Oreochromis niloticus: one gene and its partners. The protein of the gene in region 1 interacts with the protein of each later gene in a biochemical or structural test. Links are inferred from orthologs where the notes say so. Each region holds a gene or a part of one and is shown in the gene's direction. Other genes may lie near its edges.

The links.
Region 2: the proteins of hsp90aa1.2 (region 1) and ahsa1a form a complex in vitro, tested with the Homo sapiens proteins (4 studies listed by BioGRID). The link is inferred for Oreochromis niloticus from reciprocal best matches to the Homo sapiens genes HSP90AA1 and AHSA1.
Region 3: the proteins of hsp90aa1.2 (region 1) and stip1 form a complex in vitro, tested with the Homo sapiens proteins (9 studies listed by BioGRID). The link is inferred for Oreochromis niloticus from reciprocal best matches to the Homo sapiens genes HSP90AA1 and STIP1.
Region 4: the proteins of hsp90aa1.2 (region 1) and fkbp4 form a complex in vitro, tested with the Homo sapiens proteins (4 studies listed by BioGRID and IntAct). The link is inferred for Oreochromis niloticus from reciprocal best matches to the Homo sapiens genes HSP90AA1 and FKBP4.

Annotation. Positions count from the first base shown.
Region 1 is NC_031980.2:5,312,746-5,320,023, forward strand, and holds the start of hsp90aa1.2 (heat shock protein HSP 90-alpha), read left to right. Parts: upstream 1-4,261; 5' UTR 4,262-4,439; intron 4,440-5,485; coding exon 5,486-5,635; intron 5,636-5,801; coding exon 5,802-6,168; intron 6,169-6,258; coding exon 6,259-6,392; intron 6,393-6,587; coding exon 6,588-6,905; intron 6,906-7,026; coding exon 7,027-7,192; intron 7,193-7,278. Other genes in the region: hsp90aa1.1 (heat shock protein HSP 90-alpha 1), read left to right, coding at 462-611, 726-1,092, 1,180-1,313, 1,432-1,737, 1,832-1,997, 2,149-2,339, 2,455-2,602, 2,697-2,965 and 2 more. UniProt on the Homo sapiens protein: Molecular chaperone that promotes the maturation, structural maintenance and proper regulation of specific target proteins involved for instance in cell cycle control and signal transduction.
Region 2 is NC_031983.2:6,923,483-6,930,527, forward strand, and holds the start of ahsa1a (activator of 90 kDa heat shock protein ATPase homolog 1), read left to right. Parts: upstream 1-4,037; 5' UTR 4,038-4,215; coding exon 4,216-4,295; intron 4,296-5,749; coding exon 5,750-5,940; intron 5,941-6,336; coding exon 6,337-6,419; intron 6,420-6,513; coding exon 6,514-6,631; intron 6,632-6,821; coding exon 6,822-6,913; intron 6,914-7,045. UniProt on the Homo sapiens protein: Acts as a co-chaperone of HSP90AA1. Activates the ATPase activity of HSP90AA1 leading to increase in its chaperone activity.
Region 3 is NC_031975.2:9,398,157-9,405,940, reverse strand, and holds the start of stip1 (stress-induced-phosphoprotein 1), read left to right. Parts: upstream 1-4,764; 5' UTR 4,765-4,908; coding exon 4,909-4,917; intron 4,918-7,086; coding exon 7,087-7,296; intron 7,297-7,393; coding exon 7,394-7,535; intron 7,536-7,784. Other genes in the region: spata22 (spermatogenesis-associated protein 22), read right to left, coding at 1-253, 555-744, 961-1,098, 1,888-1,993. UniProt on the Homo sapiens protein: Acts as a co-chaperone for HSP90AA1. Mediates the association of the molecular chaperones HSPA8/HSC70 and HSP90.
Region 4 is NC_031972.2:54,490,043-54,497,478, forward strand, and holds the start of fkbp4 (peptidyl-prolyl cis-trans isomerase FKBP4), read left to right. Parts: upstream 1-4,435; 5' UTR 4,436-4,717; coding exon 4,718-4,816; intron 4,817-5,318; coding exon 5,319-5,463; intron 5,464-5,719; coding exon 5,720-5,862; intron 5,863-6,645; coding exon 6,646-6,766; intron 6,767-7,436. Other genes in the region: ATP-dependent DNA helicase DDX11, read right to left, coding at 86-160, 284-486, 597-684, 1,780-1,887, 2,026-2,083, 2,818-2,954, 3,057-3,143, 3,231-3,446 and 1 more. UniProt on the Homo sapiens protein: Immunophilin protein with PPIase and co-chaperone activities. Component of steroid receptors heterocomplexes through interaction with heat-shock protein 90 (HSP90).

The DNA of each region.
Region 1 (7,278 bases):
CCATAGAACTGTAAAGGAATTATTCATTCTGGATTAAAACCTTTGTTTAATGTATGAAATGTTCTTAGAAGGCCAAAAAAAATATATGCAGTAGTCGTGACAACAGACTACCCCTTCCTATGCTAAAAAAACAAAGTTAGTTTTTGTTTCATCTTTGAATTTCAAGTTGCTATTTTTTTAACAAAAACACTACACACATTGAAGCTATTAAGGGTTTCCAAAGCATCTGAACCCCCCCCAAACCCCCAACCCCCCAAAAATGCCAGTTCTGTGATTGACAGAAGGAACATGTGCACATCAGCAGGCCATGTGGCTGCCTGAGAAAAACTTAACCGAAGAAGTTCATAGTAAATTAATTTAAACTACAGGTGAAAATATAATTATTCGAAAACACAAAAAATACAGAGGTACAATTTCTTTTTTTTCTGAAAAATGTTACCCAATATGTTCTTCCCCTTTAGATGCCTGAGAGTTCTGCACACATTATGGAGGAGGAGGTGGAGACCTTTGCCTTCCAGGCTGAAATTGCTCAGCTGATGTCCCTTATTATCAACACTTTCTACTCAAATAAAGAGATCTTCCTTAGGGAACTCATCTCCAACTCCTCAGATGTAAGGGAAATAAACACTTCAACACCATGTTTTCCAATTTTTTTGAATGTAAAGCAAGCCCTTATATTTTTTGCCCCCCAAAACTATTTTAATTGAGTTATCTATTTTCGACAGGCCTTGGATAAAATCAGATATGAAAGCTTGACGGATCCCACCAAACTTGAGTCCTGCAAGGACCTGAAGATTGAAATCAGGCCTGATCTGCACGCTCGCACCCTGACCATCCTTGACACAGGTATTGGCATGACCAAAGCTGACCTGATCAACAACCTGGGCACAATCGCAAAGTCCGGCACCAAAGCTTTCATGGAGGCTCTGCAAGCTGGAGCTGATATCTCCATGATCGGTCAGTTTGGTGTGGGTTTCTACTCTGCCTACCTGGTAGCCGAGAAGGTGACAGTCATTACCAAGCACAACGATGACGAGCAGTATATGTGGGAGTCTGCAGCTGGAGGCTCATTCACAGTCAGGCCTGATACAGGTATGTCTTAGTCGCCTCATTTACACAACAATTGAATCAGTCATTTGACCTTGTCTGCCACGGTTCTAATTTTGTTGTTGATTTTAGGAGAGCCAATTGGCAGAGGCACAAAAGTGATCCTTCACCTCAAGGAAGACCAGACGGAGTACTGCGAGGAGAAGCGTGTCAAAGAAGTTGTGAAGAAGCACTCACAGTTCATTGGCTATCCCATCACACTTTTTGTAAGTTTTTAATTACACAGTAAGAACAATTATCCAATCAATACTTGATAATAACCACACATTGGGTGTGATAATGGTATGGCAAAGCAAAATTTAAATATGCCTTTGCATATTTAAGGTGGAGAAGACAAGAGAAAAGGAAGTAGACCTGGAGGAGGGAGAAAAGGAAGAGGAGGTTGAGAAGGAGGCTGCTGAGGACAAGGACAAACCTAAGATTGAGGACGTTGGCTCTGATGAGGATGAAGATACAAAGGATGGCAAGAACAAGAGGAAGAAGAAGGTCAAGGAAAAGTACATTGATGCCCAGGAGCTCAACAAGACCAAGCCTATCTGGACCCGTAACCCTGATGACATCACCAATGAAGAGTATGGCGAGTTCTACAAGAGTCTTACCAATGACTGGGAGGACCATCTGGCTGTGAAGGTAAGCTAAATCTTCTTGTGATAAAACATATTTAGCAACACCAGTTGCAATAATGTTATGCTAATTAATACATATCTATATCTTACCCCTGCAGCATTTCTCAGTGGAAGGCCAGCTGGAGTTCCGTGCCTTGCTCTTTGTACCTAGAAGAGCTGCATTTGACCTCTTTGAAAACAAGAGAAAGAGAAACAACATCAAGCTTTATGTGCGCAGGGTCTTCATCATGGACAACTGTGAAGAACTGATCCCAGAGTACCTCAGTAAGTAACAATAAAGTAACACATTAGTAATAGTGAACAAAATCTTGACCCTTTAATGATGCATTCTCTCAAAATTCATAGTTATTAGTAATTGTTTTTGGAACTCAACTCCTGGCTTTGGGTAGCTGACCAGTTTATTTTCCCTACTCAGATTTCATCAAGGGTGTGGTGGACTCTGAGGACTTGCCACTGAACATCTCCAGAGAGATGCTGCAACAGAGCAAGATCCTGAAGGTCATCCGCAAGAACCTGGTCAAGAAGTGCCTGGAGCTTTTCTCAGAACTGGCTGAGGACAAGGACAACTACAAGAAGTTCTATGAGCAGTTCTCCAAGAACATCAAGGTAGGATCATCCATCTAAATTTCTTACACTCTAAAACTTCAGAAAAAATGTATGATACCAATCATTTTGCATTGATGTTAATAACACAAAATGACACATTGTTTTTTATGCTTAGCTTGGAATCCATGAAGACTCCCAGAACAGGAAGAAACTGTCTGAGCTGCTCCGCTACTACACCTCAGCCTCTGGAGATGAAATGGTTTCCCTCAAGGACTATGTCTCTCGTATGAAGGATAACCAGAAGCACATCTACTACATCACTGGTAAGTTATTCAGTGTGGTTTCCTTTTCTTTTGTTTTCAAGTATTCCCTGGGAGTTTAAGTTCATATAACACCATACTGAAATAACTTTAACAGGTGAGACCAAAGACCAGGTTGCCAACTCTGCTTTTGTGGAGCGCCTTCGAAAAGCTGGCCTGGAGGTCATCTACATGATTGAGCCCATTGATGAGTACTGTGTCCAGCAGCTGAAGGAGTACGATGGCAAGAACTTGGTTTCAGTAACCAAGGAAGGCCTGGAGTTGCCTGAGGATGAGGAGGAGAAGAAGAAGCAGGAAGAGCTCAAGACTAAGTTTGAGGAACTCTGCAAGATCATGAAGGACATCCTTGATAAGAAGATTGAAAAGGTAATTTTTCTCCTTCAGAAAATGATAAAGTTATTATAGTTAACATTATTAGGCATGAGAAGCTTGCTTGACTGTGTTCAAACATACTAAAAATACTGTATTTCCATCCTGACAGGTTGTAGTTTCGAACCGTTTGGTTGCTTCCCCCTGCTGCATTGTCACCAGCACCTATGGATGGACGGCAAACATGGAGAGGATCATGAAGTCTCAGGCACTGAGAGACAACTCCACCTTGGGCTACATGACTGCAAAGAAGCACCTTGAGATTAATCCCTTGCATCCAATCATTGAGACCTTGAGGGAGAAGGCAGAGGCTGACAAGAACGACAAAGCTGTGAAGGACCTGGTCATCCTTCTGTTCGAGACTGCCCTGCTCTCCTCAGGATTCACACTGGAAGACCCACAAACACATGCTAACCGCATCTACAGAATGATCAAACTTGGTCTTGGTATGTATAGCTTTTCCTTCAAACATCCAGGTAGTAGTTAGGTTATTATACATTAATTGAGGAATTTGTTTTTTAATGGATGTATTTCTATACACAGGAATTGATGATGATGATTCTGCAGTTGAAGACATAATTCAGCCTGCTGATGAAGATATGCCAGTCTTGGAAGGCGACGATGACACATCAAGAATGGAGGAAGTTGACTAAATTATTTACTAGACTTTTTCTGGCTTTGATTTTTATTTTTGTAATTTATGTTCCTAATTTAAATGTACATTATTTTTTAGCAGAATTTCTGTTAGTAAACAATGTGCTAGTCAGAAAAAGTTGATGGAATTAATACAGACCACAGTGGCTTTAGTTTATATTGTATCAGCCACTTATAAAACTTCTGACAATCACTAAGAGTATTATTAAGTCACCGGGGTTTAGACTTATATCTCTTTTGTAACATTTTTTATGAAAAGCAATCAAATTTGTAATAAAATATATTTTAAAAATGACACCTGTCACTTTTCTTATCTTATCACCTGTCACTTAATTTTATCACTTGTTTTTGCTTCCTACAAACAATAATACTGAAAGGTGAAAAGTTGTATTAGAGAAGCGCTTAATACAGCTAAGTGGCTTACTTTTATCAATTACATCGTTTGATTTATCATGTATTCTGGAATTTTCAGTGAATACAGCATGGTTCATTCTAGTTTCTGCTCTCACATGCCTTCCTCATTCGGCTCAGCCTCCCCTCCCTTAATCCCGCCTCCTTCTGCCAAGAAAGGCAGAGAGGCATGTACACGCACCATGATTGACAGGGCACCGGGCCAGTGAGCGGCCACCACCGAGCAGGAGGATTCCAGACGGTTCTGGAAGCTTGTGTCAGGAGGATTTCTCGAATGGTCATAGAGGGTATAAAAACCGCACCGTTACACCAGTTTCCATAGAAGCATTAGCAGTCAACGAGCCTGCGAGTAAGGAGCGATCTCTACACATCTTCCTCAGGAGTTTTGGGCACACTGCAAACCAAGGTAAATGCATTAACAGCCTTACCACAGACATTTGGGATACGAAAATATTACACGCCCTCAAATTCAGATTTAATAGTACTAAATGTTAGCTTATTTGACAATAATTTAGAATCGAAGCTGACATTTTTGTCATGTCTGGATAGAAAGTGAGGCTGAAGTGAAGAAAGGGTGAAATGTAGTTACAGCACCTGGTCTTTAAAAACTGATTAAAAAGTATCTGCTCTGAAATTTTAATGTCAGCGTCATAAACGGTAATAAGAATTTGATTCCTATTGTGCCTCATTTCAGAATTCAAACCTGCGGGACAGTAGCCACATGGCAGGATGCTTTAGTGATGCATTTGGGAGGAAGGTGTTATGTTAAGCAGGGGTTTAACTGTTTGAACCTTAATCAAATTTCCTGTGCTAAGATTTCTGCAAGATTTTTTGGGCCATCTTATCCTTGTACCAGGTTTTAATTCAGTGCAAAATCAGTAGGGTACAGAGTGTGCATTCTTATAATCTCGTCAGCTGTATGAGAGGCGGGCGCTTTCGATTCATATGGAAACTGCTAGAGAGTTCTTCTTGCCTCCTCGTACCTTCTAGAAACTTGCACTTCACCTGGGAAACCAGCAGGTGGAGTAATTTCTGCTGATACCGATATGCAATTCAAGCCACGTGTTAATCTCTGATTAGCCAATAACCAAGCAGGATTGAATCACAGTCCAAGAAGGGGGGAAAAAAGGTCCTTGTACCTTTTAATACAAAATTATGAAAGTAAGCAAGAAAAAAAGAAACCAAAAAAAGTGACTATATACTACACATCTACACAGAATTTGCTTTAGTTTGAAGTGATGTTAATTCCTCAATGTTACATTGAGGCTACTTAATAAGGATAAGCTGTAACTGCAACATCTTACATAAGAAGGATTGGCAGTGTTTTTCAAGTGTATGTTGCTGGGATGCAAACATTTAGTGTTATAAAAAAGAGTATTTTATATTGTGTTTCAGTCACTTTAGTCAATGCATTTTTTTTAAAAACAATATTTGTTTTCCGTCTTCACTCAGATGCCTGAAATGCACGACCAACCAATGGAGGAGGAGGCAGAGACCTTCGCATTCCAGGCTGAGATTGCTCAGCTTATGTCCCTGATCATCAACACTTTCTATTCCAACAAAGAGATCTTCCTTAGGGAACTTATTTCCAACTCCTCAGATGTAAGTTTGCAATATTAGACTGTGTTGCTTTGTTTATTATTTAAAATAAAAAAGACATTAAATAATATGCTTTTTTCCCCCTTAAGAAATTGAATTATATTTTTATCAATACAGAATAAATTCTGGAATTTCTTTAAACAATTAACATTGTGTTTTGCTCCATCAGGCACTGGACAAAATCCGCTATGAGAGTCTCACTGATCCTTCCAAGCTGGAAACTGGCAAAGACCTCAAAATTGAGATCATTCCCAACAAAGAGGAGCGTACTCTAACCCTAGTTGACACAGGTATTGGCATGACCAAAGCCGACCTGATCAACAACTTGGGCACAATTGCAAAGTCCGGCACCAAAGCATTTATGGAGGCTCTGCAGGCTGGAGCTGACATTTCCATGATCGGTCAGTTTGGTGTGGGTTTCTACTCTGCCTACCTGGTAGCCGAGAAGGTGACAGTCGTTACCAAGCACAACGATGACGAGCAGTACGCCTGGGAATCATCTGCTGGTGGCTCATTCACAGTTAAAGTAGACAACTGTAAGTGATATAAACCCAAATTTGAAGTGAATTATTAATTATCTAACCCGGTGGTTATAAAGTATACTGACCTATGGTCTTCCTCTACAGCTGAGCCACTGGGACGTGGAACTAAAGTGATCCTGCACCTCAAAGAAGACCAGACAGAATACCTTGAAGAGCGAAGGGTCAAAGAGATTGTTAAGAAGCACTCACAGTTCATTGGCTACCCTATTACGCTATTTGTAAGTACTTAAGTCATATTTAATGATCCCATAGAAGAATTCAATTTGTAACTATTGCAGATAGCTTTTGCACTTTAGACTTCTGAGAAAGTTGCTGAATAAACCTCTGTAACACTGATATTATAAAATAGTGACTCCCTAAGGCTAAGGTGTAGGGAAATTCTTCAGCGTGTGACCAAATGTATTTTCCTTCAGGTGGAGAAAGAGAGGGACAAGGAGGTGAGTGACGACGAGGCAGAGGAGGAAAAAGAGAAGGAGGAGAAGGAGAAAGATGAGGAGAAGGATGAGGACAAACCTGAGATTGAGGATGTTGGATCAGATGAAGAACAGGACCATGAGAAGTCAGACAAAAAGAAGAAGAAGAAGAAGATCAAGGAAAAGTACATTGACCAGGAAGAATTGAACAAGACCAAACCCCTGTGGACCCGGAACCCAGATGACATCACGAATGAGGAATATGGAGAGTTCTACAAGAGTCTCACCAATGACTGGGAGGACCACTTGGCTGTCAAGGTTGGGCTCTTGATATGTTGTTTTAAAAATGTAGCAGTTCTTTATAGGAGGAAAATTGTGTCTGATTTAATGTAGCCCAATATATAATCACTTTTGTTTTTTTATTTTTTTTGCCTTACAGCACTTCTCAGTAGAGGGTCAGCTTGAATTCCGTGCCCTGCTCTTTGTGCCTCGGCGTGCTCCTTTCGACCTCTTTGAGAACAAGAAGAAGAAGAACAATATCAAGCTGTACGTGCGCAGAGTCTTCATCATGGACAACTGCGAGGAGCTCATCCCAGAGTATCTCAGTGAGTATTAAACTGTGGATTACAATTTCCCCAACAATAATAGAATTATAATGAAAATGACACAATGGACTCTTTAGAGTTTTAAC
Region 2 (7,045 bases), on another chromosome or scaffold:
TGGAACATCTCTTTACACTAATTGGGTTTGTTGGCAGCAGGTCAGTAACACGACTGGGTTTAAAAACACTGCCACACATGCAGACTGAGCCTCTGGTAGTTGTGATCAGAACTAACACACCACATTTTGGGTAATAGTGCGTGGATCTTACCCAGTGAGCTGTAAGCATGGTTTATACATGTTATGTGTGTTGAGACCGCAATAATAAAACCATTTTGCTCAACCCCGAACAGTTACTCTGCTTTATTTTGAATGTCACTGGTCCATTATGAGTCAAATTTGAATAAAGCCTTTGAATAAAGTTCAAATGGTGTTAACTGTTTTTAGATAATATAACAGAAACCATAGTTTTACACTTAATACATGGCAAAAAAGGTATATACTTGTTGAGTCACTGTATGCTCTGTTTTCACCAAGTCAAACAAACAAAATGCGTCTAAGCTTTTTCCTTTTGGTGGTGAAAAGGACTTGCTTTTGCTTATGCTCGTATTTTCTTAAAATGCTGAAGAAATCATTCTGGCGAGGTAACAAAAAGTCAGCTGGTTTCAGTAGCTGATAGAACCGCTTTTAACCCTTTATAGTTTGGTCTAACTTAACTCGGTGTGTCATTTTTTCTTATTTTCACCTTTTTCTGTCTTGTTTATGTGGACAGACACTTAAAAGAAATGTCTTTGGTAATATATTGTATTGATAACCTGTGGAAATATTCTCATTCACTGGAAATTTTAATGCAATGACAGACAGATTCAAAGAACACTGAGTTTTATACTTTCCCTGTGTACTAAAGAAATCAGAGATCTGATTACAAATCCATACTAAGGCCAGAAAAAGACAATAAAGTCAAGTTCAAATATGATCCCATGTGATTTTCCATCTCAATAGAGATCACTTTGATAAGTAAACTGCATGAACAGTCTTTTAGAATTGTGTATTTTGCTCATTGATGGTTGTTTTTTAAGCTTCTAAACTGCAGGTTTAATAAGAAGTTAAACTGCACTTTGTTTATATCTTCCCAAATCAGTAGCAGCCACCTTTGGAGGCTTTTCATTAGTGTTTTTTATAAGACTCTTTAAATCTGATTGGTGTAATTACCAGTAATTATCATCGCTAATGATGCTTATTACCTCTGCCTCTGGATGTTTTCATTTGCAGCAATGGTTATTAGCTTATCTATGTGCCTGTTACCAGAACCTACACAGACTTTAAATCCTCGAGGCTCCAACATCTAGCTACTGATCTGTAACCTCATTGGAACAATTATTAGACTTGACACAAAAAACAGAAGGTGGGGCTACTTTTTGGATAAGACGGATAATAAGAGTTAATTTGACTTATTAGAGGATATAAGTTACGTACCAAACGCCAACTTTAGCAAGGTACACCTTGCTAGCCCCAGGTTAGCCCCCTTTTGCTATAAAAACTGTTTTAATTCTTCGTGGCACTAATTCAAAATGGTGCTGGAAAATTTCCTCTGAGATTTTGGTGCATATTGACGGGACAGTATCACATAGTTGCTGTTCATTTATCGGCTGCGTGTCACCACAACCACCTCTCAAAGGTGCCCTATTGGATTTGGTCACTGTGGAAGCCGTTTGAGTACAGTGAACTCACTTTCATGTACAAAACCCCCCCCAAAAAAAACTGTTTGACATGAGTCTCCAAAAGTTGAATCTGTTCATCTGGACGTAGCGTTTTGTGGGAGAAACGTTTCGTCACTCATCCAAGTGACTTCTTCAGTCTCAGCTGACTGCAGGTTTCCCCAAACCTTATAAACAGTACATTTGCATAATGACTGAAACCAGCCCACTGAGGGAACAATGGGCTGTGAGGTCAGTTTCTTAATCATAATTATGCAAATTCCATGACCATTGATCAACAATCACTGACCAAAACCCACTGATCAAAGAACACTGATCAATGGCCATGAGTACCATTCACAGAGAGTTGGGGAATGGCTGCAATCACAGCATTGTAAGATGGTGACAGATGTACCCTTAGGCCCCCTCCTCGATTCAGAGATGGTCTTTCCCTTTTCACGTAAATGGCCTCCTTGACTCCGCGCTCAAACCGAGGAGGGGGCCTAAGGGTACATCTTTCGCCATCTTACAATGCTGTGATTGCAGCCATTCCCCAACTCTCTGTGAATGGTACTCATGGCCATTGGGGTGGGGTGGCTGTAGCTCAGGTGGTAGAGCAGGTCATCTACTGATCGGAAGGTTGGTGGTTCGATTCCTGGCTTCCCCTAGTCTGCATGCCAAATATCCTTGGGCAAGATACTAACCCCAAATTGCTCTCCGATGCATCCATCGGAGTATGAATGTGTGTGTGAATGTTACTTAGAAAGCACCTAGAAAAATGTGCTTGTGCGAATGGGTGTGAATGGGTGAATGCACAAGTTGTGTAAAGCGCTTTGAGTGCTCAGAAGAGTAGAAAAGCGCTATATAAGAACCAGTCCATTTACCATTGATCAGTGTTCTTTGATCAGTGGGTTTTGGTCAGTGATTGTTGATCAATGGTCATGGAATTTGCATAATTATGATTAAGAAACTGACCTCACAGCCCATTGTTCCTTCAGTGGGCTGGTTTCAGTCATTATGCAAATGTACTGTTTATAAGGTTTGGGGAAACCTGCAGTCAGCTGAGACTGAAGAAGTCACTTGGATGAGTGACGAAACGTTTCTCCCACAAAACGCTACGTCCAGATGAACAGATTCAACTTTTGGAGATTTACTTTCCTGGATGATTGAGAATGCATCAAGATGTTTGACATGAGTTTTGCAACATGGTTCATGATCCTGGTGGATGCTGCTGCCAGAAGCGGTCATAGAGTGAGGAACATGGTCAACAATACTCAGGTAGGCTGCGGCTTTTACATTATGCTCAGCTGATATTAAGGGGCCCAGAGTGTGCCAAGAAGTTATGCACCATGCCATTAGACCTCCAGAACCACTGATCCAAGGCAGGATGGAGCCATGCATTCATGTTGTTTCTGAATGTTGCAGCAGAAATCGAGACTCATCGGACCAGGCAGGATTTTTCCACTCTTCAATTGTGCATTGTTGATGCGCCTGTGTGAACTGTAGCACGAGTTTGCTGTTCTTGCTGCTACAGACCATCTTCTTCAAGGTTCCATGTGTCGTACTCTCAGAGATGTTCTTCTGCATACCCTGGTTGTAATTACTGGGTATTTCAGTTATTGTTGCTCTAAATATATAGAGAGAGACTTATGGAGTAGATCAACAGTTTATGAAATATTCAGTCTGTGTCTACATGCCCAAATACATTGAGTTGCTATGTGATTAGATAGCCATGTTAATGAGCAGCTGAACAGCTATACCTATTGAAATGGCCAGTGAGTGGACACCAGCCATTTCTTTTTTACTCACAGCAAAGGGAACATACATAAATAATAGCTCATGCTATACTCACTCAAACTCAAAGCGAGAATCTGCTGACATGGACTTAATCCCTCACGGTCTTCCACTCATTTTTATAATCACTGTCTAATATCACAGGTGTTTACTTCAAGATATGTAAAATGTTTAGGCCATGCCATCAGAAGTTTCACTAAGAGTTGTTTTCATAATTAATCAATTATTTTGTCCAAAAATTGCCCCATAGCTGTGAAAAATCTCCATTTTCATAAACCTGAGGGTGAGGCCTTCATTTGTCTTCCCCTTGCAAACAGACAAGAACAGACAAAAAAAAGTACATCCTTAAAAACAAAAACAAAATCAAAAAAACTGGAACATTTACAAATTTTGTGTGGTTGGTTAAAAAAAAATACTTGTAAAAGTAATTTGTATGAGTAGTTCATGTGAGCCTGGCAGAATGAAGCGCTTTCTTAAAAAAAAAATACAGTTGAAATGGAAAATAAAAACAAGGCTTTTCAAAGTCTATCTATCTGTCTATGTACTTAATCATTTACTTACTTACTTATTTTATTTTTGTAGTTCCAGAAGTCTGCATTCCTAACGCGGAACTATTCTTCAGACTTCCGGCAAGGGGGGGACATTTTTTTTACCTCCTTCCACAACGTTCCGTTTCCAGCATTTTCTGTGCTCGGCGAATAAACGCAGGAGCACCGCTTGAGAGCCCGCAGCAGCTAGAGGCTTCTAGAAACAGCGTGCGCATCGGTGGATAGTCACCGGCAGACACCTGCTCTCTGCTTTTAACCTTACACGGTTAAACGTTTCTTATTATTTAGTCAACAAAATGGCGAAGTGGGGAGAAGGAGACCCTCGTTGGATTGTAGAGGAGAGAGCTGATGCGACTAATGTCAACAATTGGCATTGGTAAGAGCTAATGAAAGGACATTGGTTTTTAGCTGTTAGCCTAATGCTAACACGACACACCGAGCTCCTGTTAGTATCAAACTGTAGTTTATATGTTTAGGTTTGGATCAAGTAAGTTTAGGTCATTATTTTGTCTGTAGCCGGCTGCAAGTATTGAGGTATATCAAAGTTTGAAATAATTAGGCGAGCTAACATTGCAGGCGTTCTTAAGTTAGCTTCGCCTGTAGCTAGCCGCTGAAGCTTCAAGTGCATGTGTAACGGCTTTTAACATCAGTAGCGTTAAAATGCAGCATGACCAATTGTATCTACTGCAGTATTCTGGTGTAGTAACAAGCTTTATAGTCTCTCACAATTGGTAAGTTTACGGTTACCAGCGTTTCATCGGTTACACCAGAACACGTGTGGTAGCCCCAGTTACAACGTGACTGCACTTTTTTATAGCTGCCCTACGCAAAATAATACGAATAAATTCATAGTTTGTAAATATGGCATTTGTTCGTCTTTTGTAATGATCTCGGAGCATTTGATTACAGGCTTTTCTCTGTGGCAGCCATACTGATTACTAGCAAGGGGCGCTGTCACCAGTCAACTAGAATGTGGTTCCTGAGATTTGTCACTTAAGCCGGTCTGTGCCCACCTTCCAGCTGTGGTGACCGACTAAAATACATTTGTATCTAGCTGAGGATTAGAAACTGATGTCAGAGGCCATCTGACTGGGTGATCCAATTGTGACGTCCTGAGTAGTTACCAGTAATGTACACTTTACAACTGTACACAATTGTTGGGTTTTGTTTGTTTGTTTGTTTTCCCCCTTTTGTGTTATGAAAATAAAGAACCCTTCACTTTAATGTTTTACAGTCTTAATCCTCATCATCACACTATATAACCAAATTTCCCCTTGTGGGACAATTAAAGGATTATTCTATTCTATTCTATTCTATATATTGTTTTTTTACACATTTAACTAGTTCGTAGTGAGTGGCCACATAGGGTAGTGCTTTACACATTTCCCAAACAAGTGAATCTGTGAATTCAGTCATGTGAGGTGAGATTCCAGTAGGAAAGGCATCTGGTGTAAAGCCTCTGCCAAATTAAACATGTGGAGCTTCCCGCTGTGGCAACTCCTTGTGAATAAGAGAGCAGATCCAAGTACCATGATCTTCCTCTTGCTAGTTTACAATTGATGTGACTGAGCAGGTAAATCTTGGCCAATCATAGCCTTTCATTTGCCAAACGACCAGTGTCAAACAGACATATGTTTAATGACATGTCAGTGCATCTCATGTTTGGGATTCAGAAAACAAATTTCCCAGTTGAGTATGACTGCAGACACGTTTAAAATACAGTGAGAAGAAGGCTTGTAAAGTGCACAATCCTGAGTTAAGGTGTTGGGGTTTTTTGTTCCTTGTTTGGATCTGCTCACTTATCTTTGTGGTCTCTGCTGGACTTTGCAGGACGGAAAGAGATGCAACAAACTGGTCATCAGATAAATTAAAATCTCTGCTTCTTGGATTGAGCGTGGAGAATGAGGAGGGAACGTGTGAAGTGACAGAAGTCAGCAAGGTCGAAGGAGAGGCCTCGATTAACAACCGCAAAGGGAAACTTATTTTCTTTTATGAGTGGAACGTGAAAGCTACTTGGACTGGTAAGTAGAAAACTAGCATTATTGTTTGTTTCATTTAAGGCAGTAGTTTGGTTTTAATTGCATCTCTGAAACTGGTCGTTTGGCTGCTAACAGTGGCAGTTACCGTCATTGCTTCCAGACTATAATTTAGCAGGCACTGAGACTTAATCAGCATTGTGCCAGCTTGTTTGCAAACATCTTGAATGCAGGGCACGATCTCTTATATGTTGAAGTTTTGCAGCTCAGCCTTTAACAGGTAGATTTTCATATCTAATAGGGGGGAAAAGCTTCAGTGGCTTATAGAGAAGAGTGACAGAGCTAATATGTTGCATTTTTATTATCATTACTAAAATAGGAGACGGGTTTGAAGAGGCTTTGAATCTTTGCTGACATGTTTATAATTTTTTGTTTGAACAGGAAAGTCAAAAGCAGGAGTCAAGTATAAAGGAACAATTGAAGTTCCAAACCTGTCTGATGAAAATGACATGGAGGATCTTGATGTAAGTTTCACCAGAGCACATGTGCACACTGATTCAGACTGGCTGGAAGGTGGAGGAAGAGTTTACTGAGTTTACTTTCCTGTGTCGTGTCCAGATTTCTGTATCGTTGAACAAAGATGAACCCGACACGCCGCTGGTGAACCTGATGAAAACGAAAGGAGTGGATAAATTCCGCGACGCACTGCAAAGCTACGTTGGGTTCTTAAAAACAGGTGAGCTAACGCGTAGCAAATTTCTCCCAGAGCCTAATTGCTGAACACGTTGAGATTATGCATGATTGTAAATCATTAAACTCTTTATGGGTAGAATTTGCGTTAAGAGTTTTCCAGATTCAGATTAGGTTAAAGAAAAGGGTCAAATAATTATATTTATACAAATTCTTCTTTCTTTTTTTAATTGCAGAATTCACACAGGGGATGATCCTACCTACAGCCAATGGTGTGGCCAAACCACAGTCCACATCACAGTCCAAAGCTAAGATGGATAAAACTGAGGTTGGTGCACATCAGTCCCATAGTAAAGATTTTGGACTTCAACACTCACTTTGTCCCCATTTTATTTACTCTGATACCTGAAGCAGTGTTAAGCCTGATTTCTGTGGTTAAATTCCCACCATTCAGTTGTTG
Region 3 (7,784 bases), on another chromosome or scaffold:
AGCATTAGCAGACTGCCTCCTGGGTGGTGGAACTGGAGGAGGAAGAGCTCTAGACTGCTGGGAATACTGATGCGGGGAACTGGATGTTCCATAAGATGACTTCCGACCCATCTGAGATAACCCTGTATGGGGCACTGGCTGGCTTTGTCCACTCTCGCTGCCGCGAGGGCCTTGATATTTGCTCTGTCTGAAATTGATGACAGAGCTGGAATCCTGCTGTCCCAGTGCGTTGCTGGGTTGTCTCATCACTGAGCTGAAATGAAAGCCCAGCATTCAACAAACAGTAGTCCTGTGACATGCTTTAAACTTTTAAAAAGATAACATCTGAATTTCTTTGGTCTCTGTCAACTAGGCACTAATTTAAGTGCCACAGCTTAAACAAGAACTTTGAAGTGCAATGATAATATCCATGGTTATGAAAACTTTTCCACATGTCATTATCACAGACCAATTCATCAAGTTAAATACCATGTGGGTATATTTTAGCAGTTTACATACATGAGCTATAAGAAAAGAGAGAAGCTACAGTGTAACCAATGATCAGTTAAAGACACCTTTTCTCTTTAGCTTTGTATGGATGAGGTATGGGTCCATAGGCTCTAGTTGAAGGGGTAGGTCCAGGGGCAGGTCTGTTGCTGCCATACTGCTGGGCTGGAGCAGCCTGTGAGTTGCTTTGTCTGTTCCACTGTTGGCTTTGAGGGACACCAGAAGGGGAACCTGAGGCCTGGTAACACCCAAAGGCACCTAAAGAAAAGGTCAATTCTCACAGGTAAACTATCACAACAAACAACAACTTCTGTCTGTAGATGTGACGGGTTATATAAATGACTTTACAATGCTAACCAATATTCTAAAAACATGTAAAGTCAAGCATACCTAAAAGTATGTTTAATTTTTCTGTGGATACACTGACATCTAGTGTCAGAAATAAAGCAGAAGCTTAGAAAATGAACAGTTCACCTGCTGGGTTGTGAGATATGGCTGAGCCGGTGTTTGGTGTGTACTCGCTGTGAGAAAAGAATTCATTCTCAGAGGGAAGAGCGGTCAAAGGAACCCTGTTTCGTTTCTTCTGGTTAAAGAGCGGCACAGAGAGGCAGCCTGGAGAAAACGGCAGAGGAAAGACCAGTGAACGAACCACAGCGCAACATGATGCTTAATGACACCACATACTCACTGACTGTTCATTATTTAACCTATTTAACTCCTCATGTACAAATAAACTCCACAGCTTGCCACATTTATCCACACACAAAGGCTCTATCACACAACCTGGCTGGAGTCAAAGAAATCAATGACTATGAGGTGGAGATGAATACACTGGTGTGCAGACTGTGAAGTTATTTATTTTTTTACCAACCTGATGTAGGCCTGGCCGCCTGGTTTTCCTGTCTCTTCATTGTACTTGCTTAGTTTGCAGTTTATTTAACTGGCAGGACTTTTTTAGCAGGGAAAACAAAGGTAAAAGAAAAAGACTATACGCTTGGTTTTCTGTGTAGTGCTGGAGGTTAACTAACTTGGAAAGTAGTAAGCTAAGCTAATTTATCTTGCTCTGGCTCACTAGCTAATAAGCTAGCTGTAATTTTTAGACATGTCATACAGTTACTGCCTGAAAGTTCAAAGTGTCGTGCTTTTACAGAACCAACCCATTTTCTGTGAACATCTTACATAAATGACCAGGTCGTTGTTGGTGAAAACTTGACAAAGTATTACAAAAAACTAAGACAACGGAAGTTAAAATTCAGCACCTCTGAAAGCGCCAAAACTTCGCGGTGACAGGTGATGCCTTCACGGTCTATAAGCAAGCTTGGACTTTGTAAACGCAGCCTCGAAATAACGGCTGGTCAAAAAATAATTACCGTGACATCTATATTTTTTGTGAGCTATTACCTTTTGTTTGTGATGTTTTTTGATCATCTGCTTTTGGCTGTTCTCTTATACACAAGAGGTCGCCACAGTGGATGGATCCACATATTTCATTTACACCGAATGTCATTTCCGATGCAACCCTCCCAGGGATTTGTATCCCTCCTTAAACCGGGAATATTTCTTGTGTTAAGCACTGCGGTCCTTTTTGGCAATATTGTATTCAAAATGATTATACATACAGTAGCTGTGGTCAGAATTTTAAATGCAATCAGGAAAGGTCATGAATGTCATGGTAATTTGTGGTTTTTAATCATTTCTTTGAACTGTTCTTTTTCCAGCATCTCTCTTTTAATGACTTTAAAAAGTTTTAAGTTCTAATTTATTTGGGATTTTTTTCTAATACACACTGGGTCAAATGTATACATACAGGCTCAAATACAAGAATACACCCACCCCAATATGGGTGAAACGTTTGATAGCTGTCATCAAGCATCTGTCATAATTCTGGCTGAATTTTTAACCATAATTCTTGGGATAATTGGTAGAATTTGTTAAATTAATTAAATTTAAAGTCATTAAAGATGTATGTAGTGCAATAATTCCACTCTGGAAAAACAGTTCAAAGAAATCATTAAACGTGCAAAACTATTATCACATTCATGAGTGTATCTTCCGACCACAACTGCACATGACATAATTTTAAAATTCCAGGTTAAAAATAATTCTAATAAAAGCAGGTGATATTTTAATTGTTATTGTTTGACCGTCGCCTGATGCACATGTTATGTGTTATTATACCCATAATTATAAATAATAATATAATGATAAATTAGAACATTTGCAGCAATGATTAAAAAGCAAACTTTTTCTGTTATGTTTCGCTTCAGAAGCTTCAAAAGTTCACATTTATGCACTATAATTCTTGTCAATCATTAACAATAAATAGAAATCAAAGTTTAATTTGAGCTAGATAAAAGTCAGTCTGACCTTAGGCTGTCAGGCTGGCCTTTATTTAACCAACTTATATTACTTCTACAGACATAAATTACATTACTGCACATTCGTTAGGAAACTATAACAGAAATATGATGACTGCAGGTGTTTTGTCCTTTAAGCAAAGTGAAATTTTACATTCATGTTGTTAAGATCACAATAGTTGCAACATTATTATCCTTACAACAAAAGATGAATATGACTGAATCCGGGTGTGCAGAGCATGACTGCAGTGGAATATAAAGCAAGTCACGACTCTGTGAAGGGAAATAAACATGCAGATTATAACATGATTAGCATTTCACACAAGCGGAGACAGAAACAGTAGGATGTGTGTGTATTTGTGTGATAACAGCAATCTGTTTACCCCTGTCTTCCAGTAGATGGGGGAGTGAGACAAAGAGCAAACTAACAGCCAGCGGGCTTCCTATGTTACTTTTTAAACCTACTTCCACACACAGCTGTCATTCATTTCTCTTAGTGTGCTGTTTACCACAGGAAAACATGGATTTCTCATCCTTACCCAAATCCAAAGAACTAGAATGTACAAAAATGTGTGTTATAAGCGTCACCTCATTTACTAAAGTCTCTGCCATGGTGAAATGTGGATGCGATCAGTCCTGGTGGTGCTTCAGGAGATGAAAATCAAATGAAAATGAGGCCATGTTTGGTTGAGTGCATAAGAAAAGACGTGGGCAAAGGTTTACAGCAGTGCCATCTCTGCTCTTGGTTTTGTGTAGTGCCTGAGGCTCAATGTGCTGAGTTCGAAGGCCACCTTTTGATCTTGGCTTCTATGTTTTGACTTTTCTAGCTTTGTGAATCCATAGCAACAGCAGCACTGATGGTCTATTCAGAATGTCTTCCACGTCCTCTTGATCCATTGAGAAACTCTTTGATGAACAGATAATTTGTGAAGCTGAGACTTCCAGGTGAGAAAAAAATACCTAATCATTTCGGCAGAGCTGCTGAAATTATTAGGATTTTTTCTGGGATTCCATAGAGACAGTGACAGTGCTAATGGCATAATCAGCTATAACAACTCTCTATAGGCAGAGTCTTTCTGAATAAAAATTGGGATGGTTTATTTCCCTGCAAAAGTCCACTGGTCCAAATAGTTAAACAATTTAAGAGTAAAATGGCAAAAGAGATTTCATCAGTAGCAGGAATGTCAAACATAAAGCCAAGGGGACCAGTTTTGGCCCAGCAATGGGTGTGCCATAAATTTTGAGCTTTTAAAACTGTGTGTTTCAAAAATTTTACACCTTGTCCAGCTGATAAAGAACTCCCCCACACAGGCCTGTCAGGCACTGAAAACATAAAAATACTAAAAGGGGGGGGGGAGCAGGCCCCAAAGTGTAAAGAACATGAAATCCTTTATGTAGAATAAGTTTAGCATTTTGCTTTCAGGACTACAGCAACTGGACTCTTCTGTTCCCAAATAGAATGTTAAAAGATGAGGCAATTACAACATAACAAATCCCAGCTTCACTGTAGTCATGTTGATTGCATGCACATTTTTTCTTGACCTTTTCCATAGCACCCCAGCTTTCTTCTTCTTCTTGGAAACAGGAATCTCACACAGTCCAACCTAATCACTAAACAGCAGACTCATTAACTTATAGTCTAGTGCAACTGTGGGTGAGTAACCCTGAGATTTTGTCTTGGACATTGTCTGCATGTCGTGTTTATCTGTTTTAGTGTGCCAAAAATAAATAGATACAAACATCACCGGCTTTGAATAAGTTGCTGGTCTAAATAATATTTTCGGGGTTAATATGTTTATGCCCTCACTTCCAACCTCTTCCTCATCTCTGTGCTGCTCAGAGAGCCAGTAACACATCTTGTGTAACGTAGCACCGGGTTTTCGCTCATCTTCTGGAAGTTTCAGCTACTGTGCTATATATTATTGCTCAGATTCCCCTCACGGGTGAAACGCTCATCTGGAAGCTGATTACGGATTTTCTACCTCCTAAACTGGCAACCTGCATGTTGTTGAGTGGGAGGCGCTAGTTCACAGTAGTTTCTGGAAAGGAACCTCATGCTTGCACCATGGAGAAAGTGAGTGTCCTGCTACTTATTTAATAATTAAAACTTTCTAACTATCATATTTAAGACATATTTGTGTATTCCTTTGAGTTCTTTGGGAAAAAATTTATTTACAATAATTTGGAGGTCGGAGAGGTTAGTCAGCTCTTTATCCTGACCGCTCACTGTTTGCTAGTTAGCTTGTTAGCTTAGCGTAATCTCGTTAGTAAGGTGTTGTAGTCATTTGGGCTTGCCGTTTTCACCCGTCACAGAACATTTTGACAGCACTAAACTGCAATGTTGCTTAACTTCATATTTCAAAAAGTGCAAGTTAACTTGAATGTTTATTCGCGCAAGGTTGTGTCTCACTTATGATAGCACACGACAAGGTTAGCTAACTGTTAAGCTAGCGTGCAGCAACTTAATTTGTCACACTTGCTTTTTACGTAAAATTATCCCTGTAAGGTTTGCCTGCCGCTGTTGCCAGTGGACAGTGTAGGCTCGGTGTTGTAAACCAGCCTTTTAGCCTTCTGCAAACATGGGCAATATACAAGTTACCAAATCTCAGTCAAACGCTATCTTTGGCTCACAACGTGAATTTTTATCAGTATGTCAGGATAAGAAAAACAGAGAGTCTTGATTTTATTAAGAAACAAACAAACAAAACCTTTGTGACCCCTTTATAAAACGAAAGCAGACGACTGTGAGCTTTTGCAGCAGTCGGTCTGTAAGCACATGCTGCAGGAGTATTTTTGGATTAGCTTCAGCGGTGCCATCGGCAGTCTGCACTCACACCGGAGGATCATTCTAGATGCACACACAGGCGAAGCTGTCATGGCTACAGCCGCATGTTGTCGTCAACTGCTGCGTCCTCTCGAACGTTCCGCATAACAGCTGCATTCACAGATATGAATGGATTTCATATCTGAGCTATTTTTATTACTTAAAAACTACTGTTGCGCTCAGACTCGGTAACCTATTTGTCCAGCATAAAATCAATAAGTGTGGTGCACGTTAGAAGTCAAAAGAGGGCACTGCCTAGTTAGAAATGTGCTGATGTTGCGAGGAATTTGTCCATGAGTTTAATTTTTATTACCTTTTTGTATTTTCTGGATAACGCCAAACTAAGAAATATTACATTAAGGATTTGACACATTGTGAAAGTAAGACTTGATGTATGCCTCAAGGTTCTTGATCAGCATTCACCATGGTGCAACACATCTACAGGTTTCATTTTCATTTTGGACCGACTTAGTAAAGATTATATGTGGATTATTACAACTATATGCACATTGTTTACACCCTAAGTACTAAAATGACTAGACTGTGATTACTTAATGCTTCACACAATGTATCCAAGTGAAGCATTTGGTCAACAACTGGACCTTGGTGATATAATCAGCTATCCCTTCCTTTAAGCTCCATAATATTTACTGAATATTCACTTTTTTTTTTTGACTAAACCCTATAGCACTGCAGGGGATTGTGATGTAGCTATGTTGTTTCAGACTGGATTAGGTCTAATGACTGCTAAGAAGAAAGTTGTGCCACATAACACTTGAAAGTTTTTTATCGTGGCTAGTTGTTAGTGGACTGAGTTTTATCAGACAGTTTTCAAGAGGAGCCAGCAGGGAGTGAGAAAACCTTTTTGGAGCAGCGTGGTGCTTCTTTCTTCTTGGCGTGTCATTGATTCTGTTAGATTCAGAGGAGGCACAGCGCGATTACTTCACAAACTGTAACAAGCAGCTTTAATTGACAAAGGGTGTACAGTATATTGACAACCTTTTTTTTTCTTTTTTTCTTTAGCATTGTCAGTATGGTTTGCTGTTGTATTCACTCTAACTTCCTGCAGAGAAAACTTTTAGAGTAATATACGTCTAGCTATCTAACCTCTGTTTTAGTTTAAAAGAAAAAAAATCATTATCTGTAACTGACACAAAAGTGGGGTCACCTTTGAGCTTGCTGTGAGGCAGGGCTTATTTTCAGGTCAATGCGGTAACAAAATAAAAACATTTTCTCTCTGCAAGACTCCTGCACCTGTTTGACACTAACAGCTGAATGATTGTCAATTCCTTTTTCACTTCTGCCAGTAGCAGCTGTGAAGGATTTTTCTCCAGTCAGGATTGTGTCTTTGTGTATTTAGAGCAGCAGAGCTGCAAAACAGAGGTTTTGTAAACATGTCTGTCTGTCTGTGCTTCATAGGCTTCAGCATTGAAAGACCAAGGAAACAAGGCACTGAGTGCTGGAAATGTCGATGAGGCCATACGTTGCTACACCGAAGCCTTGAGTGTTGACCCATCCAACCATGTCCTGTTCAGTAACCGCTCAGCTGCCTATGCCAAGAAAGGCAACTATGAGAATGCTCTCCAGGATGCCTGTCAGACTATCAAGATCAAGCCTGATTGGGGGAAGGTGAGATGTCCTTTTTTATGCCTTTGATTTGTTGACAGAATATATAGTTATTAAAATTGAGGAGACGGTCTAAAATATTTCAAATGTGATCAACCAGGGTTACTCCCGTAAAGCTGCTGCATTGGAATTTCTTGGCCGATTGGAGGATGCTAGAGTAACTTACCAAGAGGGACTCAGACAGGAGCCAAGTAATCAGCAACTAAAGGATGGGCTGCAGAACATTGAGGCCAAGCTTGCAGGTAAAGACTGGATTGTGTTTTTGTTTTGAGCTGCACAGAAACGACGCATAATTATGTCAAAAGTGTGTGAGTCACCTTTTGTTTCTGTGTGGGTAGAGGATTTTGTGATGGCTGCTGACAGCATCACTGAAGTGAAAATGCATTTTTTGAGCTTAGGTTTTCAGAATGAAGGAGACAGTCCGCTTGAGTTTGGAGTGTTTTTAATCAGACTGTGGGTAAATACTACAAGTTACAGAAAGAGAAAAGCTA
Region 4 (7,436 bases), on another chromosome or scaffold:
ATTTCTTAATACTGCCAAGATATTTTAAACACTTGTTTTTTCTATTTTTAAGACAGGAAGAAGAATACCAGACATATAATTGTACCTGTCCCTTTAGCTGGACACCTGCTGCTCGTCTTGTAGCTTCATGAAGCACCATTTGATAGGGTAACACAACCAGCTACACCAACATAAACAAACCACAAAGACATTAAATGAAAACCAGATCTTGTGGGAGAAATTCAGTAAGCAAGTAGCTTTTGTTGACAAATCGACTGGCGACTCCCTGTGCAGGGAGACCTACCTGTGCAGGGGGAATAGCGAGACGTGTAGCGTAATAAGGACATGAGTGCGTTTCCCTGCCCAGCTTCAAAAGCTGCTCTATGTCATGAACAGCCCCCAGAACTACATCTCGCATCTGCTGCAGTGCTGAAGCCTTATTATAGGGACACACGCTCTTTGCTGGGCCTCGCTTACGTTTTACACCCTCTTCGTGATGATGCTTCTCTACAAAATGGAAGGAGAGATGAAAGAGGCTTTCTCGAGAAAAATCAATAAAGCCTGAGGTTAAAATAATTTCTGTAAGAAGACCAATTCTTCTACAAAATGCCTCTCACCGTGCTTGTTTTTCTGCATCTCCATGCAACGGTCATTTATGCGCTGGATGCTGCCCAGCCGCCGCACTTCTTCATTGATGCACAGATTCTGTAGAATTTTATAACAGGACAATGTCAGATGTCAGTGTCAAGAGTCACAGTTTTATTCATTGAATAAATGTAATAGTTTGTGTGCAATGCCAAGTAAAGTCTCAAGTACAGCGTCTTTGAATACTGTGTATTTCATAAGGGAAATCCCCTCCTAGAACTAGATTGTTCAATGTGCTATAGCAAAGAACATAACGCCATTTATCTTGCATTTGTTTCTCCATTTTTTTCTGTCATGTAGAGGATTTAACAGGCCAGTCTTCCCAGCGCTGGCTGTTGTTAGGTGCTACTTGAGAGTTCTGTCAGAATCTAAAAGGACTCTTTCAGAATTAGACAGTTTCATAACTGTTCCCCATCATATCCTGTTCTGCAAATGTTTTCTTGGCTTTATTATCCTCTGAAAATTAAGATCGGGTTTTTTCCTACATTTGAAAAAGCCTCTAACAGGCTGATTACACACATACGAGTCTGCATACGTCAAAGGCAATGAACCTTTGTTAACTTATTTGTTATTTCTGACCATTTGAGAAACAAAATATAGTTATTACACGTGTGTAATGAAACCTAGTTAACAAAGCACGTTGGTGAGATTCCTTTAGCTATGCTTAAAACCTCCTCGGGTGGGAGCAGTAAAAATTCTTCTATGAAAGAAAAACTGCCAGTAGGTAAACAAACAGAAAGACTTTTTTTGGTGGCATACTTTATGAACAATCTGTACTTTTACTGACAAAAAAATAGAGACAAATTATACCAATCAGTTACTTTGAGGAATTAAAGGAAATTGCCAGAAATCTCTCAAGTACTCGAGCTGACAAAAGAGGCACCATGGAGAAACAGTCAAAACCAACTTCAAGAAAAAAGTATAATCACATCTATTGAATGAATAAGAGGACAGGATGAAGAGATTCATGCAAAAAATTATCAGCTCATGTTCATATATATTTTGTGTTACTTTAAATAGATATTTATGTATTCAACCAATAATGACATTTGTGTGTTTTTGTGTGTGTGTACCAAATGCTGTATGTAGGACTGCATAAACATTTTTTTCAACAGTAGAAAATATGTTTTTTAACAGTCGCTGCTGGGTACATACCTGCCGTGAACCCAGTGTGACCACGCTGATGTCCTTGCTGAAGGGGCTCTTTTGTACCTCATGGACAAACTGGGCCAGTTGGGAATGAGTGCGGCTGCAGTAGTAAATCTACAGATATGCATATGAACACAGTTCCACATGAGGGGAATGTCCGATGCTCATAATTATAATAATTTCCATGCTATAAATATATCCATCCATCCAACCCATTTAACTCTTACAGCTGTGCAATGTGAAATTTCATACCTTAGTAACATGTTCTTCAACCAGTTCATCATCCTCATCTTCTTCTGCTCCAAAGAATCTGAGGATGCAAGCAAATAAATCCTTTATCAATTTCAGACTCTCATTTGGATTATTTATTAATTTTACCCATTAATTCATGTCCTCACTTAGTTTATTAATATATAACTAAAGCTAAACTCAAACTAACGATAACTCTTGTATGATACACACAAAAAAGTAATCAACGGGACTGTATCATCAGAGAAAACACAAAATTTTGAAAAACCTAAATAGAAGACACAACTGAGCTGATCGTTTTGACATATGAACACTCTATGACACATGATGCAAGACTAGTTAGTGGGCAAAGAAGAAGAAAAATGGCCAATGACAATAACATGTACTGGGACTGCTGCTTTGCAACAATCGCACCAACGAACAAGCAAATCCACTCTGGAAACTAACAAAGACTAAACTGAACTGTAACCAAAAACTCAAGATGAATTCAAACTAATTAGAAAATATAAGATAAGATAAGATAAGATAACCTTTATTAGTCCCACACGTGGGAAATTTGTTTTGTCACAGCAGGAAGTGGACAGTGCAAAAGTTATGAAGCAAAAATTAGAATAAAATAAAATAAGAATAAATACAGTACACAACTGTACAGAATAGAATAAAATAAAATACTATATACAGTAGAATAAAATAGAATAAAATATACAATGAGATAAAAATAGAGTACAAATGCTATATACAATTGAGTAAAAATACAACGATGAATATGAAACTATAACAATCAATCTTCCTCACCTGCCCTTAATCTTTGACTCATCATCGCTCTCATATTCTGCAATGATCAGCTCCTCGTCTTCTTGATCTCCTGTTGCCTCGACCTGCTCCTCTTTACTGAGCTGAAGCAGCTTGAATGCCTCATCCTCTTCATAGCTCTATGAACAGACAAAAGTATTGTATTAAAATTACTCCAAGTCACTCGTAATTTTAATATCCAAGTGAAGCTCCATTAAATGCTCGTGTGCATGATGGCTCACCTTTCTTTTAACCGCATACTTGAGCTGGACATTATTCCGGATCATTTCTAACCGTTCTTCTCTCTTCTTCCTCTTCAATTCTTCCTCCTGACACCAAACCAATCAACAATAAGCAAACTTTGTGCAAGTTCAAATCCAGACTTCGCACACACTTCACATCCAAGTTTTCCTCACCTTCAACTTTGACACTAAGTCACGTTCTGCTTTTTTTTGCACAAAGTCAGTGATCCAGTCCAGCTCTGCTGAGGAGCTGGCTACAGAGGATTGAGCAGCATTAGTGGAAAGAGCTGCTTCTCCTTCCTGCAACAGAGCAGTTGCCTCCTGCCTCTTTCTCTCCTCATAATCTCTTAGCCAGCTCAGTGCTCCACATATCAGACTCAGTGACTTGCCCTAGATTGACATAAATAGACAAAAACACTTATTAATGAAGTCCAACAGCTTCTGCACAGATATGCTTTTCTCCCATCTAGTACACACCGTTCCAGTGGGACTTTCAAAGATGCCAACTTTGCCTTTGTCAAGTGCACTGTACAGGGCTTGCATGAACTCCTCCTGGATGTTATAGGGCTGATAGGGAAATGGAAACTCTGCCCTACTATTTTCCATGCTCCTAAACCTAACTGGAAGGAAACATAAAAGCAAAGGTTAGTTTCAACATTTCATTTCTGATATGTAGACTTGCCTCTACAAACAACCGATTAAAGCACCTTTTCAATCCAGACGAATTCCTTTTTCGGCTTGGCTCATTTTACTACAATAACTAAATCTTCATTAACTAAATACCTTACCTGTTCACCAATACGTTGCGTCAAGCAGCTAACATTTGAAACCGACAGCTTTTCAGCTATCTTTAAAGTGAAGCGTTATGCTAGCTAGCAATCTTTCTCCTTACAATCGTATCTTTTAGCGAACGTCAATCAAAATCTGAGAAAATAGTACTGCCGTTTCTTACCGTGTATATCATGTAAAATAATGTATTTGTCTGTGTTTTCACTTGTCAGTTCCCGGCTATTCAACAACCGCGCCAACAAACAGAAGTGGTCACAGAGTCTGGCCAATAGGAAACGAGCTACGAGAAGGAGTGCGTGTTTTAATATACACTAACATTTGTGCGGACGGGGTTGTGTGTATTTATCCACGATTTTGTCATTTACTGTAACGCTGTTTGATGACAAGGAATGTCAGATGTAGCCTTGATATTAGCAATTTGAGTACTGACCTAAAATATTCGTAAAATAAGCATGAGCATTGCTCGTTGGATTTGCTGCCGCCTTCCAGGTAGATCCTTTAAACTATATTTAACGTCGACTACGTTGGTCCCTCCCCCCCGGTACCTCCTAGACTGTCTGGAAAGTTCTCTGCCCTTCTTTAAGCGTCTGTGAGATGCCAGATTGCAGGACAACGTGGACTGAAGGCAACATTGCATAAACCTCGTATTATAAGCTGATAGCAGCGTGACTAGTGAACTATAGCAAAGGGCCCGTGTTGCTAATTGGAAGTTGTGCTGTATTCTCGAGGAACTTAAGCTAGCTAGTTAACGTTAATCAGGTTGTTGCTTGCAGCACTTGATCTGAGGAGTAGTAGGAGCTTTAGCCGCCGTCACTATTAGCCAGTGTTAGTTTGGATTGTGGTGCAAGGCAGAGAAGGGACAGATCAGCTTCATGACGATGACTGCAGAGGAGCAAACAAGTGAAGTACAACATACAATCCCCCTGGAGGGAGAGGACATCACACCAAAGAAAGATGGGGGTGTTTTAAAGGTAAAAATGGTGCTTGATTTGGTACTCAGCACCTAGCTAGCTGAGTAGTTAGCTGACAGCTTGTTTACTATTCGGCTAGGCTAACGTTAGCTGTTGATAGCTATGCTGTCGCATACACTGATTTAAAAAAAATACAATGAAAGCTAACTTTAATGCTAGGAACACCTTATAATGAAATGCAACGTCACAGATATGAGAACTAACTCAGTACCAGAGTGTCAGAAACAAGACTAGCTGTCAATGAAACGGTCTGCATTTCTAGAAGGATCTGGAGCCTTGAAGAAACAACTGTCATTTTATTGATGGACACATTCTATGTTTCATCGCACAATGAAACACATACTGAGGGCTTTAAATATATAGGCCTTCATTCAGAATAAACAAGTTTGTAATTTAGTCGTTCACTACGCGTGGTGCGTGTGCAAGGCAGCGATCACATGCATGTTCAAGAAATTGCTTTCTGATGTTCTTTGATAAATTCTCGTCTTACCTTTTTCTCCAGGTGATCAAAAGGGAAGGTACAGGCACGGAACTGCCTATGACCGGTGACAAAGTGTTTGTACATTATGTGGGCACACTTCTGGACGGGACTCATTTTGACTCCAGTAGAGACAGAGGAGAGAAGTTTTCCTTTGAGTTGGGCAAAGGTTAGTTTCATATTTGTTATAGCTGCACAACCAGTGCAGGATTTTCTCTACATTTTAAAAAATGACCTTTTACTAAAGGAAATGAACCAGAATGCATCTAGTAAGGTAACATAGGCTGTTTAGCCAAACTATATATGGATTAGCCAAGCTTACCTGCATATTTAACCCCACATAACCACAAAACCAAAAAGGGAGGGGCAGCTTGAGACAAGAAAAGCCTTAAAGTGTGAGTTTTAATCTACTTTTTTTTCCATAGGACAAGTAATAAAGGCTTGGGACATCGGTGTAGCCACAATGAAAATTGGGGAGTTGTGCCAGCTCATCTGTAAGCCAGAGTATGCTTATGGATCTGCAGGCAGCCCACCCAAGATACCACCCAGTGCCACTCTTGTTTTTGAGGTAAGGATGCCAGTTTTCATTGTCCATTAAGTACTTTTATTTGTGCAGTTTGAGATACTGTATATTGCTGCGCTTCCATGATAGGATAGAAATTGAGAAGTGGCTTCAATTCAGTGAGTACAAAATACTTCATTATCTTTTTGCTTCCAAGTTTATAAATTACCTTTACAGTTCAGGTTACGCATTGCAAACCAGTGAGGTCAGGCTCGCTGCATTGAATCCTTGGAAATGTGTAGTAGAGCCAGCTTTATTTCAGTCAGTCCGTCTCGGTTGTCTTGCAGTGGATTCCAGCTGTGGATCATAAAATGTATTTGGTTAAATTTAGCATTTAGGATAACTGAATCAATTTTTCTGATAATGCTTATCTCTTTAAGTGCTGTCTCTGTGGCCAGAATTGCAAAAAAGGAAATCATGATAAGCAGTTTCACAATTTGAATCTCCACCGTGCTTATAATTGTTGCTTCTGATGGTGTTAAAAATTGTTATACAGCCTTCTGTTTTCATTGTTTTGCGTAAAACCAATTGTTGCCTTTTCATACATTTAGAATAACTGATGTAACCTTTTGTTTAAAGACTACAGTAAAAGAAAAGGAAAAGGGAAAAAAACACAGTAAATGGGTGAAAAACAAACAAACATGAATGAATGCTCCTCCCCACCCCCTGCCCCCAAAAGAACTAATTTTTTGACAAAAAATGGGGAACTTTGGAAATTTTATTGGAAAAGTTGTTGGGGTTTTTTAATGAAAAGATATACATTTTTGTCACATGTCTACACACTTATAGGTGGAACTGTTTGAATTTAGAGGGGAAGACATAACTGAAGAAGAGGATGGAGGAATCATCCGACGCATTATCACTAAAGGGGAGGGATATTCTAAACCTAATGAAGGAGCAGCTGTTGAAGGTAATGCATCCAGAAACGTGTTTGATACATTCAATTTCATGTTTCATATTTCCATCTTTGGAAAGTAGAGTCCCTGCTTAAATGTGTTTAAGTAAGAGCATATTGAGGATAATAATCTTTTCAAACTAAGGGATCCCACAGGGAAAATGAAACGGCATTAAAAGAAACAGCATTGCCTTTGGTTATGGTGTTATACGTCCCTTATTATGTTTTAACAAATCCACTGAATAATAATTCAGTAACTGATTGGTTTTGTCACCAAGAGTGGACTTAAAGAGTGGACTCAGTCTGCCCCAGGGCAGCTGTGGCTACAACTGTAGCTTGCCTTCACCAGTGTATGAATGTGAGAGTGAATGAATAGTGGTATTGTAAAGCACTTTGAGGGGTCCCGAAAAGCGCTATATAAATGCAATCCATTATTATTATTATTATTATTATTATTATTATTATTACTTGCAGACATAAAGAAGAAACTACTTTCTGCTGTTCCCTTGTCACAAGGGGTCGCCAGAGCGAGTTGCTTTGCATGTTTGATTTGTGAGTTTTACACTTCTAGGCACAACCACAGAAGGATTTGTGACTCCAGCTAGAGTTAAAAAAGCAGCATTTTACTTGCCAAGTCAGTGTCTAAACCACTACAATATAGAGCTATTCAAAAGTAAACCCGAAG